Linked DNA regions of Ovis aries. The protein of the gene in region 1 purifies or fractionates together with the protein of each later gene. This does not show direct contact. Links are inferred from orthologs where the notes say so. Each region holds a gene or a part of one and is shown in the gene's direction. Other genes may lie near its edges.

What was found.
Region 2: the proteins of DLD (region 1) and DLST purify together in Homo sapiens (affinity purification with mass spectrometry; 3 studies listed by BioGRID and IntAct, counting the BioPlex papers as one, with this or other methods). This does not show direct contact. The link is inferred for Ovis aries from reciprocal best matches to the Homo sapiens genes DLD and DLST.
Region 3: the proteins of DLD (region 1) and DLAT purify together in Homo sapiens (affinity purification with mass spectrometry; 4 studies listed by BioGRID and IntAct, counting the BioPlex papers as one, with this or other methods). This does not show direct contact. The link is inferred for Ovis aries from reciprocal best matches to the Homo sapiens genes DLD and DLAT.
Region 4: the proteins of DLD (region 1) and OGDH purify together in Homo sapiens (affinity purification with mass spectrometry; 3 studies listed by BioGRID and IntAct, counting the BioPlex papers as one, with this or other methods). This does not show direct contact. The link is inferred for Ovis aries from reciprocal best matches to the Homo sapiens genes DLD and OGDH.
Region 5: the proteins of DLD (region 1) and PDHB purify together in Homo sapiens (affinity purification with mass spectrometry; 3 studies listed by BioGRID and IntAct, counting the BioPlex papers as one, with this or other methods). This does not show direct contact. The link is inferred for Ovis aries from reciprocal best matches to the Homo sapiens genes DLD and PDHB.

What each region holds. Positions count from the first base shown.
Region 1 is NC_056057.1:50,453,942-50,457,454, forward strand, and holds part of DLD (dihydrolipoyl dehydrogenase, mitochondrial), read left to right. Parts: intron 1-2,236; coding exon 2,237-2,316; intron 2,317-3,057; coding exon 3,058-3,126; intron 3,127-3,513. UniProt on the Homo sapiens protein: Lipoamide dehydrogenase is a component of the glycine cleavage system as well as an E3 component of three alpha-ketoacid dehydrogenase complexes (pyruvate-, alpha-ketoglutarate-, and branched-chain amino acid-dehydrogenase complex).
Region 2 is NC_056060.1:84,217,015-84,221,044, forward strand, and holds the start of DLST (dihydrolipoyllysine-residue succinyltransferase component of 2-oxoglutarate dehydrogenase complex, mitochondrial), read left to right. Parts: upstream 1-1,222; 5' UTR 1,223-1,261; coding exon 1,262-1,324; intron 1,325-1,925; coding exon 1,926-1,959; intron 1,960-4,030. UniProt on the Homo sapiens protein: Dihydrolipoamide succinyltransferase (E2) component of the 2-oxoglutarate dehydrogenase complex. The 2-oxoglutarate dehydrogenase complex catalyzes the overall conversion of 2-oxoglutarate to succinyl-CoA and CO(2).
Region 3 is NC_056068.1:22,031,584-22,035,096, forward strand, and holds part of DLAT (dihydrolipoyllysine-residue acetyltransferase component of pyruvate dehydrogenase complex, mitochondrial), read left to right. Parts: intron 1-3,158; coding exon 3,159-3,285; intron 3,286-3,513.
Region 4 is NC_056057.1:78,498,203-78,502,152, reverse strand, and holds the start of OGDH (2-oxoglutarate dehydrogenase complex component E1), read left to right. Parts: upstream 1-1,137; 5' UTR 1,138-1,164; intron 1,165-1,529; exon of another isoform or gene 1,530-1,756; intron 1,757-3,950. UniProt on the Homo sapiens protein: 2-oxoglutarate dehydrogenase (E1o) component of the 2-oxoglutarate dehydrogenase complex (OGDHC). Participates in the first step, rate limiting for the overall conversion of 2-oxoglutarate to succinyl-CoA and CO(2) catalyzed by the whole OGDHC.
Region 5 is NC_056072.1:43,024,516-43,028,645, forward strand, and holds the start of PDHB (pyruvate dehydrogenase E1 component subunit beta, mitochondrial), read left to right. Parts: upstream 1-1,319; 5' UTR 1,320-1,349; coding exon 1,350-1,391; intron 1,392-1,476; coding exon 1,477-1,530; intron 1,531-3,299; coding exon 3,300-3,407; intron 3,408-3,491; coding exon 3,492-3,554; intron 3,555-3,657; coding exon 3,658-3,693; intron 3,694-3,855; coding exon 3,856-4,130. UniProt on the Homo sapiens protein: The pyruvate dehydrogenase complex catalyzes the overall conversion of pyruvate to acetyl-CoA and CO(2), and thereby links the glycolytic pathway to the tricarboxylic cycle.

The sequences.
Region 1 (3,513 bases):
TTCCCTAACTAATGGCTTATTTTTAAAACTTTGCCCTGAATCACACCCATATGATGACGTGCTGCAGTCCATGGGGTCACAAAGAGTGGGACACAACTGAGCAACTGAACTGAATGCCCTCCTGTACTTCAGCTGACAGATCTTTAAATGAAGACTTTTCTTCTTTCCCTTCATCTTTGTGCTTCCTAGCATGTTAGTGGGATTCTCATGGAATGGAACATCTAGTATCTTCAGTGCAAACTGAACTGTTTCTTGGCATTTTCTGTAGCTTTGAAAAAGACCTAAGATCACATAGTAAATTGGGAAATAAAACACACGTTTTTGACTTTTTTTTGTATTTAAGTTTATTCAATAAACCTGTATAATTTAAAATGTTAAACATTTAGGCAAGAAATAAGTTTTTTAGCTTGTCTTTAGATTACTGTGAAATTAAAAATTAGACCCAAACTAAGGGATGTTGGGTAGGTCCTCATTTGGTTCAAGATTTGAAAATAGAAATGTATTTTATAGAAATTTCTATTTGAAAATCAAAATATATTTTATTATATACTTAATTCTGAACATGAATGAGTGAACTAAGCAGTATGGCCAAAAAGCACAAATGGATCAGGAGAATTGATACGATACTTTTAATCGTGTGTTAGTCTAGGTATATTTTTTTCATGTATGAGTAACCCAGATTATTACCAAGGATAATCAGTACTTTAATTTATTCAGTAGGGTGATTCTTAGATTTTGTGGATAACTGGGTTGGATAACCTATTACTTGTCCTCCAACATAGCTTCTGTGATTCTGTTGAGGCCAGCAAAAGTCTTTTAAAGGATACTCTACTCCCATCCCCTAGGGGTATGTGTTTTGTGGGGAAGGGGATGATAAGAAATTAAAATTGTTGTCTTTGTAGATCAGAATATAGCTATTATATAGCAAATACTATATACATTTGGGTACTGTGTTAAGCTATTTGCATATTTATTTGTTTTATATTACAGCCTTGTGAGGTAGATATTTTTTTGTGTACTCCTTATTTTGCAGATGAGAAAACTGAAGGTGAAGCAGATTAAATTACTCACCTAAGGTTAGATAGCTAGTAATTATACAGCTTGATTATTGCTCTTGGAGGTAGTTGAAATTAAGGAACTGAGTAATACTAAATAATAGACTGCTGGAAGGAGAGACAAAAAGCCTAATTTTGTCTCTGTCACATGGCTGCTAAACTTGAGCAAGTTTAATTGAACTGTCTGAAACTAGTGGGTTTTTTCTTTTTTAACCTAGTGTTTTTTACCTGTGATAGATATATATATAGATATATATATATATTGCATCCTTACCTTTCTCCTAGGAAGTTCTGAGAAAAACATGTGAAAGTGTGTTAAAACTACTAAGTTTTAGAGTCACTGAGATTGTAAGGACAGTGGATGGGGGAGAAGGGAGACTGTGTCTAACTCTTAATGGTTATTGTTGCTTGATTTGATGTTGTATTGAGAAGACTGGGAATAATTGCAACGTATCTTTACATTTGTTTCGTAATTATTATACTCCTAAGACTACTGATCAAAGTTAATTTTCAGTTTCTTATCTTTATATGATAAATGTCCAGAATAGTTCATTGAGTGTTCTGTTTAGCCTATTAAACTATACAAAATTTATCACTATTCAAATAGTTCAGAATGTATTTGCCAAGTATTATAGGGAAGCAGAATTTTTCCCCTGTTACTTCAGAAGTTAAGTACCTGAAAAGGATATAATCGGTTTTGAGTTTATTGAAAGAACTAAGGTATTATACGAAATTATTTTATTTAATCCAAACATCAGTCATTCATGGTAGTGTTATTGTTCCTATATTACAGAAAAATGAAGTCTCTTAGTCACGCAGCTAATAAATGATAAGAGTTGAGATTTGAAGCCAGGTATGACAGATTGCACAGCTCAGGCTCTTTCCTTCATACAGCTATGTCACTAAATGTCTGTCCATTATCATTCAATAAAACTGTGGAATTTAGCAAAGTCAGTAGATACAGTGGGTACAGAACTCAGTTATATTTTGATATGCCATAATGAATAAATAGAAAACAAAATTTTAAACTCAGTGTCATTTTCAGTTATGTCAGAGAATGTCGGGTACCTCGGAATGAATAGTACTATGTAGAAAATGCTGGTTATTTGCACTTTTAACTGTAGTGCTTTTGATCAGTAATAAGCAATTTATTGTTTTGTATCAATTTGCTTTGATTGTAGTTGATGCTGATGTGACAGTAATTGGCTCTGGTCCTGGAGGATATGTTGCTGCTATTAAAGCTGCCCAGTTAGGCTTCAAGGTAAGGTTTAAGCTCAGATTAGGCGTTGATTGCCTTTTCATTTGGGAAGGGTTGAGCACATTCACAAAATACTTTGCAGGTAATTAGTAATGATAAATAATTTCCTAATTCTATAAATTATATTTAGGTCTGAGACTAATGAAGAGAGAGGATTCATTCAGTTGTAGTATTTTCGTGAAATGGAAAGTGAAGTCACTATCCCCTCCCTGCCGCACACCACCCCCCACCCCGTATTTTTTGTTTTGTTTTGGCTTCTAGTCACACTTTGGGAATCCCAAGTGATGCTAGTGGTAAAGAACCTGTGTGCCAGTGCAGAAGACTTAAGAGATGCAGGTTCGATCCCTGGGTTGGGAGGATCCCCTGGAGGAATGCATGGCAACCGCTCCAGTATTCTTGCCTGGAGAATCCCATGGACAGAGGAACCTGACAGGCTACAGTCTGTAGGGTCCCACAGAGGTGGATATTACCGAAGTGACTTAGCATGCACATGTACACACTTTGGAAGATAGAGTAATAGAGCTAAATAAAAACATGATCCGGTTTTTAAACAAATATCTTTCAGAATGATTCACTTTTGAGTTAGTATTATGCAGATAATAAATTTTAAGAGTCTATATATTTCATTCTCACAAACACTTTCAGTAGCATGTTTTGTAGAAGAATTAAGGCACACATTTGGAATTTTGGTGAACTGAAACATTGCAGGTTATGTGCAGTAAATAACATTTTCTTTGCTTATAGACAGTCTGTGTTGAGAAAAATGAAACACTCGGTGGGACATGCTTGAATGTTGGTTGTATTCCTTCTAAGGTGAGCATATGTTTTGTACAGTGCAGACATTTTTTCCGTTAGCCACCAACTGGAAGGATATATTGAGATTAGAAGGTTAAACTAATACAGGTATTAAAACACATTTTTTCCTTTGTTAAAATTTAGGTTACTGTTGTCAGTCTGCCATACATTCCTGAAATAACTTCCTTGTCTCAGAATGCCTAGCCTGTGAGCTAGGCTCTGATGACAGAATCTGATTCCATTTTTTTGACTTTCCTCTATAGTGAAACAATTAATAGGCAGTAAATTCTTCTTTTAAGCCCTTTATGTATGAAAAATGCCCTCTTTTTTAACCTGCCATTCTGAAGTTGTATACTTAATCCTTTGCTTTTAAAGAAAGTAAAGTAGTTTTTTCGTTCTTGTTTG
Region 2 (4,030 bases), on another chromosome or scaffold:
TTAAGTCTGTCACGGTTTCCATTTTTTCCTCATCTATTTGCCATAACGTGATGGGAATGGATTGCCAAGATCTTAGTTTTTTGAACGCTGAGGTGATGATGCTCGCTAAACTTTTTGTGATAATCACTTCATGAGATACATAAATCAAATTACGCTATCTTAAATTTACACAGTGCTGCTGCGGCGGCGCTTCAGTCGGGTCCGACTCTGTGCGACCCCATAGACGGCAGCCCACCAGGCTCTGCCGTCCGTAGGATTCTCCAGGCAAGAACACTGTAGTTGGTTGCCATTTCCTTCTCCAATGCATGACAATGAAAAGTGAAAGTGATGTCGCTCAGTCGTGTCCGACTCTTCGCGACCCCATAGACTGCAGCTCACCAGGCTCCTCCGTCCATGGGATTTTCCAGGCAAGAGTACTGGAGTGGGCTGCCATTGCCTTCTCCGTATACAGTGCTACAAGTTAATAATATTTTAACAAAAACTGTAGTTTTAGTAAATGGCCAGAGATATAAGAAGTGAACAAGATAGACCACGTTCCTAATCTCACGGAGTTTATATTCGAGGGGTAGAATGACGAAGAGCCTCCAAAACGCGCAAGAGGTATGGGGAACAACCAGCTCGGCTGGAGAGAGTTTGAGCAGGGATGATGAGGAGACAAGGATGCAGAAGAAGGCTTGCTGAACATCTTCAGGTCAGTTAAAGGGCAACGGGAGCCCTTTAGAGGTTCCTCGGTGCTCCAGTTCTTTGTTCCGGGGTTAGGGAGCGAGCGAAGTTTGTTGTTTTTTTTTTTTCCCCGCTCTATCTTTGAGGAACCTGAGGCTTAGGGAAGCAATGTCACCTGACCAAGGCCACACAAAGTGTAAGATCGCACAGGCACGTCAGCCCAAGGTCCGAGTCCGAAGAAGCCCACGCCGCCTTCGGCTTTTTGCCCCCCGGGAATGCGGGGAAGGAATAGCGCGGTGCCCTGGGTGGGAGGGTGTCCCAAGAGAGATGGACGCCGAGTTTATCCGAAAGCTCCGCGGAGAGATACGGGGAGGGTGGCAACCCGGAGCCGGAGCGATCTGTCGCCAGACGGTCTCAGGAGCCTTCGGGAGGCCCGGCCTGAGCCGCAGCAGGCCCCGCCCCGTTCCTCCCGCCAGTGGTTCGGTCCGGACACCCATTCACCCCCCTCCCCGCGCAGCGGGTGCCGCGGCCCGACCCACTTCCGGTTGCTGCCGGGGCCGATATCCGGTGTCCGCCCGCCCTCGGCTCCGCCGCCGTGATGCTGTCCCGGTCCCGCTGCGCGTCCCGGGCGTTCAGCCGCTCGCTCTCCGCCTTCCAGAAGGTACGGTCCGACCGGGCCGGGACCCCCGGCGGGAGAGAAAGTCGCCGGCGGGCAGACGGGGTGGGGTGGGGACGACAAGGGGCGTGGCGCGCCGGCCAGGCCGGGCACCAAGGGCACCGGGACGCGGAGGCCGCCGCCGCGGGGCTGGGCGGCCCGGAGCCGCTGTCGCCTCCGGGGCCGTCTTGTGGAGCCTAGCGGCCGGGAGCTCTTCCCGCGGCCGCCGGCGCCGCGGCCCCTGCCGGACCCCACCCTGCGTCCGCGCGGGCGGAGGAGCCGCCCAGAGCCGCGCCCGCCAGGACACCAGACTCTATTAGAGCTCGGGGACGCGGGGCGGGAGGCGCCGCGGAAGCCCCCGTCTGGATCCCAGGGCCTCTTTTCTAATCTGTTAAAAGGCGGTGGGTTTTCACTCCTGTGGGGGAAGGTTGAGATAGTCTGGCAGGCCCGGCGTCCCGCCCGCGTTGTTGCTGTTGCCTTTGCCTTTGGGAGGAGGCCCGAGGTTCACCTGTCACCAGTCCCGGGGGCAGCTTTAGGTCTGTACTTGAAAAAGCTGTTTCTTCCCTCACTTTTCGTCTCGGGTGACCGACGTCTTCTTTCTCAACAGGGGAACTGCCCTCTAGTGAGACGTTCCCTGCCTGGTAAGTTCTGCCCTTTTGCCGTCCCCTAAAAATGCTCTCGCCTCCTCGTGGGTAGACCGCGTGTGAGGAAATTGGGTGCCTGTGTTTCTCCGCCTCGTGTTCAGAGAGAGAGAGAGGAGCGAAACAAAAGATTATTTTATTTTTTAAAATTATTGATTTATTTGGCTGCACCGGGTCTTAGTTGAGGCACTTGGGAATCTAGTTCCCCGACTAGGGATGGAACGGGGATCGCCGCCCCACCCAACCCCTGCCCCGCATTGGTTGGAAGTGCAGAGTCCTAGCCACTGGAAGCCACCCCAAATGCTATTTAGTAACAGCTGCCGTTTGTTCATTTAGCACAGTTACTCAGTATCTACTCAGTGTCAGGCACCTGTGCTGCTAGGCACTCACAGGGGATATAGCAGTGAAGGGTGGATGGTGAGTTTCTCACCCTCCGGGAGCTTACAACCTAGCTAGGGAAAGAATATGTAAATTGCTCAACAAATGGACTATCCTGGATGCTGAAAAGGAAACAAGTGAAGCTGGACACTGAAGCTGTGACCCAGAGGATGTGGCAGGACAGGAGCCATCCAGATGAAGAGCAGGAGAAGGAAAGGGAATGACATGTATAAAGTCCTTGAGGAAGGAAAGCGCTTGTCGATATTTTGGAACTAGCAAAAGAGGTGATTTGGCCAGAGCATTTTGGTTGAGGGAGAGAGTGGCATGAGATAGAAGATGGCAGAAAGACGAGTGGAAAGAATTCAGGTTTTTAATCCCAATAATTTCTTTATATGCTTGGCATAAATATTCATTGAATGAGTTGATTTTCTTATGGGCATTCTATGTGCCAAGTATTGTTCTGAGTGCTTTCTGTGCATTTTTTCAGTTACTCATCAAGAAACAGTAAAATAAATATTTTCTCTATTTTACGAATGTATGACTCAAGGCCAAGAGAGGTTAAGTGCCTTGACCAAGGTCACTGTGCCAACTATTGGTCAAGCTGAGTCTGCTCCTCAGCCTGAACTCCTCACCCATCATATTATCATTTACTCACAATGAATAGATTATTTGTTGAATTGTCACTACATGCCAGACACTATGCTAGGTGGCAGGGATAGAGGTGGTCTCTACCCTCCAGGAGGGTACATAAGTACCCTTAATTACATAAGTACATAATTACATTGTGATTACTGTGAAAGAGAAGTAGGGGGTAGGATGATATAGCCAGGCTTGGGAGGGTGGTGAGTGAGGTGGCACCATCAGTAAAGGCTTCCCCAGAGAAGTGACATTTATGCCAAGTCTTGGAGAATATATAGGAGATGGCCAAGAGAAAGATATTTTAGGCAAAGGGAATGAATGGCTTAGGCAAAGTTTTCAGACAGAAAGAGGCATGACCAGTCATAGAAATGGAAAAGAAGCTTGTCTGGAAGGGCTGGACAGGAACGTGTAAAGGTTTTGGACTTCATCCTTAGAGTCATGAGATCATAAGAACCCAGCACAGTGTTAGCTCATAGGGGACTCTCATTAATAAACTCTTTACCTTGGAGTTTTGAAAAATGTCAGTAAACATTTTCTCCATTTTATAGACTGGCAGGACAATGGGAAGCGCCTTGTTCTTGCCTTTTGTGTTCTGGTTAAGGGCTTCTCCTTGGGCTAGCCACTTAACCTCCCAAAGCTCTGCTTATATATGAAATGAGAAGAATGGCAATGGTCATTCCACTTCAGGGAGTGTGAGATGAAAATCAAAATGAGGTCATTATATGAAAGCTTTTTATAAATTCTAAAGCACTGTACAAATGAAACTTGCTGTAGGATAAACTCTAAAGTGAACTTAGAGTTCCAAAAATCAGTATGGGCTGCTTGCTGGCTGCAAGCTCATCAACATGCTGTGTTTGGGATTTGTACTGTAGTTGTTGGCTATTGATCATAAAGAGGTGACTTACTTGACTGAAACCTTGAGGATGTTTGTGGGAAGCTGGGACAAGAGAGAATTGTCTTCCAGTTGGTATTTCCTGTGCCCATGGTTCAGAAAGAGTTGTTTTTGATCTGAAAAAACAAGACACATGAAAGAATATAATCAGGTGAAGCAGAT
Region 3 (3,513 bases), on another chromosome or scaffold:
AATATGGTGGCTCTGTGGTAAAGAATTTGCCTGCCAATGCAGGAGACGTGGGTTTGATCCCTGGGTTGAGAAGATCCCCTGGAATAGGAAATGGCAACCCACTTCAGTATTCTTGGTGGGAAAATCCCATAGATAGAGGAGCTTGGTGGGCTACAGTTCGAGGGATTGCAAATACAGTGAGGCATGACTGAGTACAAGCCGTGACATAAAGATAGATATTGCTTGAACATTAATACCCAGGTTAGAATTGAAATTAAGCCAGTAACATTGCTGAGTGATTTATCACTTGACCAGTTTTAACATGCCATTTTAATAGCAAGATGTCAGGATGTGTAGAAAGAAGTCTTCCTTAAAATAATTATTTGGGAAAGGCTCAGAATAAAAGTGACCTACACATGTAAAAAGATAAAAAAATTAATTGTCCAAAAATTTTGTGACTTTATTCAGGGCAAAAATGTTATGGGAGTTGGGGCATAAAAACTGTGTCAGAATTTTTTTCCTCAGTCCTGAGTTTCTTCCTCTTCTGAGGTTATGGTTGGTTACTTTCTATATTCTTCCTCCTGCTAAAGACCTTTGGATCCTTTTGTTAATTTGTTATTATACAGTACCTAAGAGGCAATGGCAACCCACTCTAGTACTCTTGCCTGGAAAATCCATGGACGGAGGAGCCTGGTAGGCCGCAGTCCATGAGGTCATGAAGAGTCGGACACGACTGAGCAACTTCACTTTCACTTTTCACTTTCATGCATTGGAGAAGGAAATGGCAACCCACTCCAGTGTTCTTGCCTGGAGAATCCCAGCGATGACGGAGCCTGGTGGGCTGCCGTCTATGGGGTCACACAGAGTCGGACACGACTGAAGTGACTTAGCAGCAGCAGCAGCAGCAGTATCGGCAGGCAGGTTCTTTACCGCTAGCACCACCTGGGAAACCCACTTATATATACTCCCTGTATAGAGTTTTTTTAGTAGGCGTGAAGTGCTGTCTATTGAATAAAAGCCCCCAGTTAGTGTTTTTCCTTGACATGTAGTGTTCTGTTTTCTCAGAGTAAGTGAAATAATCCAGTAGTATTTAGAAAAGACTAACAATAAAGAATAAGCGTCAAATAGACATATATAATCTGGAGGAGGGCATGGTAATCTACTCCAGTATTCTTGCCTGGAGAATCCTCATGGACAGAGGAGCATGGAGGGCTACATTCCATGGGGTCTCAAAGAGTCAGACATGACTGAGCGATTCAGCACAGACATGTATAATAGCGTCACAACAAAGCTGAAGGTGGTAAATGTAGTCACTGTTGATTCTGTTAACTAAATCAGTGTCTACTGATTAGTTTATTAGATATTAGGATTACCCCCTGTATATTTGTGTGTTTTGGATATTGGAAATGGATAAAAGCCAGCTGCATTTTTTCCTAAAGAATTAAGACTAGAACTTTTTCTTCTCTTAGATTATTTGTAGAAATTTTTGTATAGGAATAATTTTCTTCTTTGGGCATCATGTTCTATTCCCTGGTCTTTTATTAACATTCACTCATGATGGAATTTTGCCTGGTGGTCAGTTCACACATTTATTTCATCCTGTTCAGCAAATTTTTAAAATTTTTAATTTAAAAAAAAGTTACAGAAATTTTTTTTGTCTGTGCTGGGTCTTCATTGCCAAGAGAAGGCTTTCTCTAATTTTGGTAAGCAGGGGCTACTCTCTTGTTATGGTGCTTGGACTTCTTATTGTGATGACTTCTCTTGTTGCAGAGCATGAACTGTAGGTACAGGAGCTTCAGTAGTTGCAGCTCGAGGGCTCTAGGGCATGGGCTTAGTAATTGTGGCTCATGGGATTCGTTGCCCCAAGGCATGTGGGATCTTCTCAGTCCAGGGATCAAAGTCCTCTGAATTGGCAGGCGGATTCCTAACCACTGGACCACCAGAGAAGGTCGAGAGTTCTAAGTTTTGTTTTGCTTTTTTCCCCACAGCTTCCTGAGACATCATCAATTAAAATGACTTTTCTCTCAGCATAATCCTTATGTTAAATAGATGCAAAAGACTTAAGAAGATAGCAAACAAAACCGTAACTGAGTGAGCATCCAAATTCAGTGAACATACAAGCCATATAAATAGGGAAGCAGTCTTTAATTTAGATTAGCCAATCTGTTTTACATTTTACTCAGGTGGAAGTGACTATTGTAAGAACAGGTTTTTGTTGTTTGGGGTTTTTTTTCAGCCATGCCATATAGCATTCAGGATCTTAGTTCCCCATACAGGGATTAACCTGTGCCCTGCTGCATTGGGAGCACAGAGTCTAAACCACTGGGCCACCTGGGAAGTCCCGAACAGTCCTTGATATTAGTTTTTTATCTTGAAAAAGTACCTGGGAGGGACTTGGCTAGTGGTCCAATGGTTAAGAATCTGCCTGCAGGGGTCACAGGTTCAATCCCTGGTCTGGGAAGATTCTCACATGCTGAAGAGCAACTAAACGCATGTGCCACAACTACTGAGCTTGTGCTCTCAAACCCAAAAGCTCCACCTACTGAGCCTGCGTGCCTTGAGCCCATGCTCTGCAACCAGAGAAACCTCTCCAATGGGAGGCCTGTGCACTGTAGCTGGAGAGTAGCACCTGCTCAGTGCAACTAGCGAAAGCCTGTGTACAGCAATGAAGACCCAGAGCAACCAAAAATAAATAATTAAAAATTTAATAAAGTATCCAGGGAGTTTGGGAGAAATTCAGTCTCCTCTGAATGAAAAGGTGGATTTCAATAAAGCACACAGTAAAATTTTAGTGGAAAAGTCTGAGGTCATTCTATGAAGATGAAAAACCTCTAGCTTAATCTAAGTGTTAAGAAAGATGAGATGTTCTATGTTTAGATATCGTTGAGGAATTAATTTTAGCCATCTAGAAAGAAATCTTTCCCCTCTGCCTGTGGTTTTTAACTTTGAAGGGTGGGTCAGAGTATCACTGGCACTATAAAAGCTTGAGATTTAAAGGATTTACCTGTAGGGACGCTACTGAAGCTCGAGGCTTTTGCTGCTGTGGGAGCATCAGGCAGATGGGAATTTGGATTGTCATAGTCGCTGTCATTCCATAAAGCTATTTGCTTGCCTGAGTGCCATTGTGTCAAAAGCATCCTAATATTGAGTAATAATAAAATATATGTTTGTTTCTACAGGTGCTTCTTCCTGCCCTCTCTCCCACCATGACCATGGGCACAGTTCAGAGATGGGAAAAAAAAGTGGGTGAGAAGCTAAATGAAGGAGATTTATTGGCAGAGATAGAGACTGACAAGGCCACTATAGGTGAGATTTCTTCAGCTCTTAATGGTTGAGACACTGAGTTTTCCGGTGAGGGAAGAGGATTGCCATCCTATCCTATAATAAGTGAGTGATAACATGAAAAATTTTAATTCTTGGGATTAATTTCCTGGAACAGAGTATTTTCATAACAAAAATATCGCATAGTTGGATCTGTCGGTTCCATACTGCACTATCATTGAATCAAGGATGTATCGCCTTGGAGATAATTTT
Region 4 (3,950 bases), about 28 Mb from region 1:
GTTACTATAGTTTTAAAATGGACATTTTTATTACAAAAGAAAACATTTCAGCATTACAGTAAATCAGAAAACCTATTACTTGCCATATATCTCAAAGATAACCTATCACAAATCAGGAAGACCAAGTAACTTCTACGTATATTATTGTCCACCGAAAGTTGTGAGCCTAAGTTTTATCTTGGTCAGAAAAGGGAAGGAAGAAAAAGTGAAATTAAAGACACTTTAGCATTAAATTAGGTTTTTCCCTTGCTAATAAAGACTGAAGAACTGAAAGGACTTTCTCAGTATGTGATTGCTTACAACTTACCGTATTTCAACAAAATTGAGATTTTTGTCCTCCACATGTTGAAAATAGTGCTGTATCTACGATTGAGGTGAGGTTAAAGCGTCTGCCTGCAATGCCGGAGACCTGGGTTCGATACCTGGGTCGGGAAGATCCCCTGGAGAAGGAAATGGCAATCCACTCCAGTATTCTTGCCTGGAGAATGCCATGGGCGGAGGAGCCGGGTTGGCTACAGTCCACGGGGTCGCAAAGAGTCGGACACGACTGAACGACTTCACTCACTCAATAAATGTGGGTTCCCCCCCCCCGCTTTCTCAGCAGTAAGTAAAATAATCTCTAAAAGCGGATGACCACTTGGTATTTGATGAAATGGCATAATAAACCATCCTTGCACCAAGCGAAGGCTCCCGCGAGCCCGCTGCCTACTTTGGGAAAACCTAGTGTCAGCGTTAGGACTTCCTGGTTCTCATTCCGCGGGCCACTGCCTGCGGCGCCTCGAGCGCGCACTGCCGACCAAGGTTTGTTTCTGACATCACATACCAGGTCAGTTCTCCATCAAAGGACTCCTGACAGCCTACTGCAGGAGACAGTACTTAGCAACACGCAGACCCCCTTTCAGAACTGTCATGCAAGCCGGTCAGGACCCGACGTGCCAAAAGCAAGCCACAACCTCGGAGAAAACACTATTGCCCCAAGGCCGAGCCACAGGAGATGTGGGCGCGACTCTGTGACGTCAAGACTCCGCTCACGAGGTAGGGGCGGCCCCTCTCGTTTCCGGGCGGGGCGGCGTGCTGACGCCACACGCTGAGGCGGGGCCGAGAGTTTGGTGCCCCGGAGTGGGGTGTCGGCGCCTCATTCGGGTGGAGCTGAGCCGGAGACAGGTAGGCTTGCGCGGCGGCCGGGTCCAGCCGGATTTGGGAGGCTCCGCTCCGGTCAGGCAGGCGGCGAGGGTCTTGGCATGGGGCAAGGCCGCCGCGCCCTCGTTGTCGCCGCCGCCCCGGTGACAGGGAGTGGAGCTGGCTGGAGCGGGGCTGACTGGGGGAGGTGGGTGGGACGGAGCCTGACAGACGGATGTGGCAGCCAATGGTGCGGGGGGCGCCTCCTGGCGGGCGGAGATTGGCGGGTGCGGGCGTGCGCAGAGGTCGCGCGGGGCGCGGAGCGGCAAGCCATTGGCTGTGATGGGCAGGGGGGGGGTGGGCTGCGCGGCGGATGTGAGGGAACGGGCGCAGCGGCCGGGGTGACCCCCAAGGTCGAGGAGGCGTCACGTGGGAGTCGTCAGGCTGTGTCCTCTCCCCGCCTGGACGGCTGGAAGGGTGGCGCGCCCTTGACGAACCGGCTGTGATTTGTGGGCATTCGTTTTTCCCAGAGCGCGAAGACGCTGGTCGGCTTCTGTCCGGACTGACCCTTCGCCCCTGGGACGACCCCTTGAGGAACAGATTACTCTGCAGTACCCCTCTGTTTTCAGTGCCCATCGTACTAATCCTTCCTATGTTCCTTGGGGTGACGCCCTTGAGGAGCGGATTACCCCACAGTATCCTGTGTATTCAGTACCCCCATACCCATCCTCCCTGCGCTCTTCTTGGGTGAACCCTTGAGTGAATTACCCTCCAGCACTTAGTACCTCCACTATCCTCGGTTACCTTTACTGTACTCAGCACTCATCGTTCCCATTCTCTGTGCTCCTCTAATCCATTAACCCCTTAATGGATGGGTTACTCTGCTGCATGCCTGCTTAGTGCTCATATACTCAGGATCCCTCCATGCTTAGTACCCACAGTACCCATCCTCCTGTGAACTCTTTGGGGGCAACACCCTTAATGGGTAGACAAGCTTGCAGTACCCTACTGTAGTCAGTACGCTTCTTTCTTCCAGGGATATGGTAGTTCATGTTGAGATGAAGCGCGTTTCCTCGAGGAACACACTAGTGTACCTTTTCCGTTTCGCAAAGCTAGGTGATGTCAGTGTAAGTCGTGTACCGAAGCTTAGTAGAAAACTGGTGGCGAGACACTGAGTACAGACAAGAACTTGTTCTCTCTGCCCTTCACCCATAACCGAGGAGAGCTGACTCAGACCTGAGGTGTGAACTGTTTTGTCCTGGGGTTTCTCTTCTTTGTTTTACCGTACTTTGAAGCGGGGACTAGAGGCTGACTCCCAGGTTTACTGCTCTGAGCAGCTTTAGGATAAATGGCCTGGATGAAGTCTTGCTTGCACTGTGACAAGAGGTGCAGTAGTCAAACTGAAGTTTTTTTGTGCAAGACCCTCACGGTCTGAAAATGTATAGTACTATTCTAGCTTTGCAAATTAGCTGATCTTAGAAAGTTGAAGAAAGATTAGAGTATCCTGGTAAAATTTTGAAGAGCATTTTCCACATTTCAAGTACTTTTTTTTTTCCTTTTAACAGCTTTATTGAGATATGATTCATGTACCATACTGTTCACTCTTTCAAGTATACAATTCACTAGTTTGTGGTGTATTCATAGTATGCAGCCATCTCCAAAATTTAAAGACTAATTTTAATTTCAGAAATACATTAATTTCTATTGATTTCATTTCAGTTTGAACACACAGCTTATTAAAAGTGCAATATTTACCATGCTATATGTGTATCTTGCATAATATATATGCAGGATATATAGATATATATATATAAGATATGTAGCAGGTCTGCTTTTAATTAGTCTTACTCCTGACTGCCCCATTTGAGAAAAGTACTGTACCATCGTCTTTAAAATTTTTAGATAGTTTTATTTTGGAATAATTGTACAATTATTGAGAAATTTATTCTAGAATTTTGTAATTTTGAGAAATTGTACATGCAAGTCTGTTACATGCAATTACAACAACTAGTACAGAGAGATCCCAGTGTCCCTACCCATTTTCTCAAATAACATTTTTACAAAAACTTCATACTATAATCACAACCAGGTATTGACCCTGATTAACAGTCAAGATAGAGAACCTTTCCGTCATGCCAGGGGTCCCTCCTGTTATCTTGTTATGGCTGTACCCACTTCCGTCCTGCCTGCAGTTCCTCAGCTCCTGGCAACCACTAATCTGTTCTCCATTTCTATAATTTTGACATGTCAGGAATGTTACATAACGAGAATTGTACAGTATGTAACCTTTTAGGGTTGGCTTTTTTTGCTAAGCGTGATTCCCTGAAAATGCATGCAGGTTGTTGCCTATATCAGTAGTTTTGTTTTTATGCTTTTGATGCTATCGATGTACCAGGCTATTGGTGTACCATAGTTGATTTAAGTCTCCAGTCATTGAAGGACATCTGTGTGGTTTCCATTCTTTGACTGTTAAGCTGTTATAAACATTTATATACAGGTTTTTGGGGTTTCTTTTTCCTTCAAATTCCTGGTTTAATAAGGACTTTTTTATTCTGAGAAAAGAAAAAAAAGGTCCCAAACATCAGACTGTTCACAAAAATAACCCACAGTATCAACTTTAGAAAACAAGTCTTAATATTACACCAGTTATTTTTCTAGAGGATGCGTTTGACATGCCAACTCTCATTCACAAAAGTACATTATTATGTTTGTGTTGAACAGCCCCGCATAGCACGCTTATATGGAGTTATATATACAGGTTTTTATGTGAACAGAAGTTTTCATTTCTCTGAGAAAAATTCCCAGGAGTGTAATCACCAGGTCATAGGGTG
Region 5 (4,130 bases), on another chromosome or scaffold:
TAGATCCTTATCTCCTACACCTAGTCGCCTCTCTTCTCAGACCCACCCAACAAAAACAAAGAAAACCCAAACCTTCCTCAACTCTTCCCCTTCCCTATTGATTCCAGTCCCAAACAGATCTCAAACCTGCCACCTGCTTGTCATGCTGAAGCTGTCCTCTATTCCAGTTCTCTCTACCAAAGTCTCCCTGGGGTCTCCCTGCTTCTGCCCTCACCCCTCTCCTCTCACTCAGCAACCAGATTCCTGTGACCTAGTCTCTCCCTGCTGCACTGGCTTCTCGGGGCCCTTACAGTAAACCCAGATTCTCAGGTTACAGACCAGCAGCTCGCAACCCTCACAGAAATTTCTGAAATGTCCTGGATAAGAGTGGGGACTGGGGGAGTCCCCAAAGGTTCTACGTGACCCATTCCCCTCCCTCCCAAGTCAAAATGAGACCAATGAGATAAAGCTTCCAGAGGCTTCCCTAGTCAGGTTATGTTCAGTCACTAGGCGTGTCCAACTCTTTGTGACCCCATGGACTGCAGCACGGCAAGCCCCCCTGTCCCTTACCATCTCCCAAAACTTTGCCCAAGTTCATGTCCATTGTACGGGTGATGCCATCCAGCCATCTTATTCTGTGACGCCCTCTTCTCAGGTGATAGGCCCTCTCTAAATGCAGGTTGTTGTAACTCCCTCCCAGGTTGGGACCCCAAATTCCGCTTTACGAAGCAGTGGGGAAAGACTACCTTTTACAGTCAGGAGTCATAAAGTCAAATTCTGGCTCCTTTAACCAATCCTTACTTCATTCAGTCTACCCATCTGAGAAATAGAGCTAATAATATTAACACTAATTACCTGAGAGGGTTCCTATGAGAATTAAGTGAGCCCTAAAGCACGTAACATAATGCCTGGCACACATGAAAGCTAGCTCCAGTTCACATTCTAAGGAACCACAAGACAGTGTTTCCAGGGTAACTTGTCACACTGTAAATACCCAGTCACCAGATTATGTATAAAGTGCTCCTTCGTACCAAAGCGTTTCTGTGCCTGCAGTTTTCACGGCCTCGAGTTACGCTCATCAGCGTCTGACTTTCGTTCCCCGCGTCCAAAATACTAACACGGAGGGACGCGCTCCGGGCGTGCACCCCGAGCGCCGGCAACCGCCTGCGCTCCCTAGTTTCCCGGCCGCCGCAGACTGGGACCACCCACACGCCCCTCGGCCCGCCCCCTCGGCCCATGACGCACTGCGGGAGGCGGGGCACGCAGGCGTCGTGCCCTGCCATTGGCCCGCGCCGGCGGGGGAGCGGGGTCCGACTCGTCCGCGGCCCTGCTGTGCTGTCATTTGGCAGCGGCTAGAGGACACGGTCAAGATGGCGGTGGTTGCTGTGTTGGTGCGGAGACCCCTTGAGCAGGTAGGCAACGGCTCCCTTGCTATGACCCTGCGCGACCCCTGCCCACTCGGTTCCCCTCTGAGCGTCCTCTCTCTCTCCCTGCCAGGTCTCCGGGCTGCTGAGGAGGCAGTTCCACCGGACCGCGCCGGCTGCACTGCAGGTAACTGGCCCGGACGCTAGTCGGGCCGGGAGGGCCCCCTTGCCCCAGGGCAGAGGCTGGGGTCTCATGTCACCCACGCGAGGCTTAATGGAATCAAATGGCCGATCTGAGAGAACTAGACGTGACACTTCTTCCCTCACCTCCCCTTAAAATTTTTTATTGTGGTAAAATATACATAACAAAATTTACTGTTTTAAACTGGATATTCAGTGGCGCTAAGTGCATTTAGCACGTCTTCCATTCACCACCAGAACTTTATCATCGTCCCAAACAGAAACTGTACTTACTGAACAGTAACGCTTCCTTAGCCCCTGGTGACCTCTAACCCCTCGGTACTTTTCTGTGGTGATGAATTCATGTATTCTAGGGATGGCCTATTGGAGAAGGAAATGGCCACCCACTCCAGGATTCTTGCCTAGAGAATCCCAGGGACAGAGGAGCCTGATGGGCTGCTGTCTGTGGGGAAGAACAGGGTCAGACACGATTGAAGCGACTTAGCAGCAGCAGCAGCAGCAGCAGCAGCAGCAGCAGCAGCAGGGGTGGCCTGTAAATGGAATCATTTAATATTTTTCCTTATAGGTCTGACTTCTTTCACTTACCAAGTTTTCAAGGTTCATCCATGTTGTAGCATGTGTCAGAATTTCATTCGTTTTTAAGGCTGAATAGTATTCCGTTGTAGGCATGTACCACCTTTTCTTACCCACTCACCATTGATGGACACCTGAGTTGTTTCCACCTGTTGGATTTTGAATAATGGTGCTGTGAACTTTGATGTGCAATTATCTGAGTCCCCGCTTTCAGTTCTTTTTTTTTTTTTTAATTTTAAAATCTTTAATTCTTACATGCATTCCCAAACATGAACCCCCCTCCCACCTCCCTCCCCATAACATCTCTCTGGGTCATCCCCATGCACCAGCCCCAAGCATGCTATATCCTGCGTCAGACATAGACTGGCGCCGCTTTCAGTTCTTTGGGGTATAAAATCTAGAAGTTGGAATTGTTGGATTATATGGTAATTCTGTGTTCAAGTTTTTGAGGAATTTCTCTTTCTCATTTCTGTTACTGGAGGATTCTACCAACCTTTATAGTTGAGTAATTCCTAGATCCTGAAGGCAAAGTGTGTGGCAGTGTCTGGCGCTTAGTTAGTGCTCATTATGTAGTGTTCCTTAGGCTTCCTTGACTGTTCTCTGCCCCACAGTATACCAAACGTGGAAATAAAATTATCCAGTATACTCTCTACTTAGGAAAGCACCTGTGAACTGGCCTGGCCAGCAAGCAGATTTCTCAAGATTAGGTAGTCATTAAGAAAAAGGGGACTTCCCTGCTGGTCCAGTGGTTAAGAATCCACCGTGCAATGCAGGGGACGTGGGTTCAATCCCTGTTCAGGGAACTAAGATCCCACATGGGAAACTGAGCCTGTGCGCCACTACTGCTGAGCTCTTGGATGGCAGCTGCTGAGCCAGTGAGCCACAATGAAAGATCCCGCACAACACAGCGGGAAGATCCCATATGTGCGACTAAAACCCAGTGCAGCCAATAAATATTAAAAAGGGAAGTGTTTAGTATACTTTTCATTCATACATCTAATCATAGACTGGCAATAAGCAATAGAAATGTTACTTTTTAAATTCTTTGAACTTGTAAAGAGAAGCCTGTTCTACTGATGGTTTTTGTCTAGTGTGCTGTGGGCAGCCTAGGTCAAGAGAGACTCTCAGTAGTATCCTAAGTAATCTTGTAGTTTATTGACTGCTTTCCCATGCCTGTGACAGGTGACAGTTCGTGAGGCTATAAATCAAGGCATGGATGAGGAGCTGGAAAGAGATGAGAAGGTATTTCTCCTTGGGGAAGAAGTTGCCCAGTACGATGGGGCATATAAGGTAAGTAAGGAAAAAAAAAAACACTATACAGAATTGAGATGGTCATTTGCCCCCACTTAGAAGTAATGGGGTCATTGCTTATAGGTTAGTCGAGGCCTGTGGAAGAAATACGGAGATAAGAGGATCATAGATACTCCCATATCTGAGGTAAGCCTTCCATCAGGAAGCAGACCTTGGAGGGGCATGTCTGTTAAAGGATACTACTATAATTTTTGTGGATTTTTACTTACATTTGCATTTTACTTTCTAGATGGGTTTTGCTGGAATTGCTGTAGGTGCAGCTATGGTAGGTAGTCTTCTTTGTGAATCTCACCCAAAGAGTTTCTTTTAACAACACCTTTTAAAATCACTGCTTGAGTGTTGGGGGTGGGGCAAAGTAGTTATTTGCCACTCTAAACTGATGTTTTCCAGTCTTTTCAACATCTTTTCAACATTTTTGATTTGACAGGCTGGGTTACGGCCCATTTGTGAATTCATGACCTTCAATTTCTCTATGCAAGCCATCGACCAGGTCATAAACTCAGCTGCCAAGACGTACTACATGTCAGGGGGCCTTCAGTCTGTGCCCATAGTCTTCAGGGGGCCCAATGGCGCCTCAGCAGGTGTAGCTGCCCAGCACTCACAGTGTTTTGCTGCCTGGTATGGGCATTGCCCAGGCTTAAAGGTGGTCAGCCCCTGGAGTTCAGAGGATGCAAAAGGGCTTATTAAATCAGCCATTCGGGA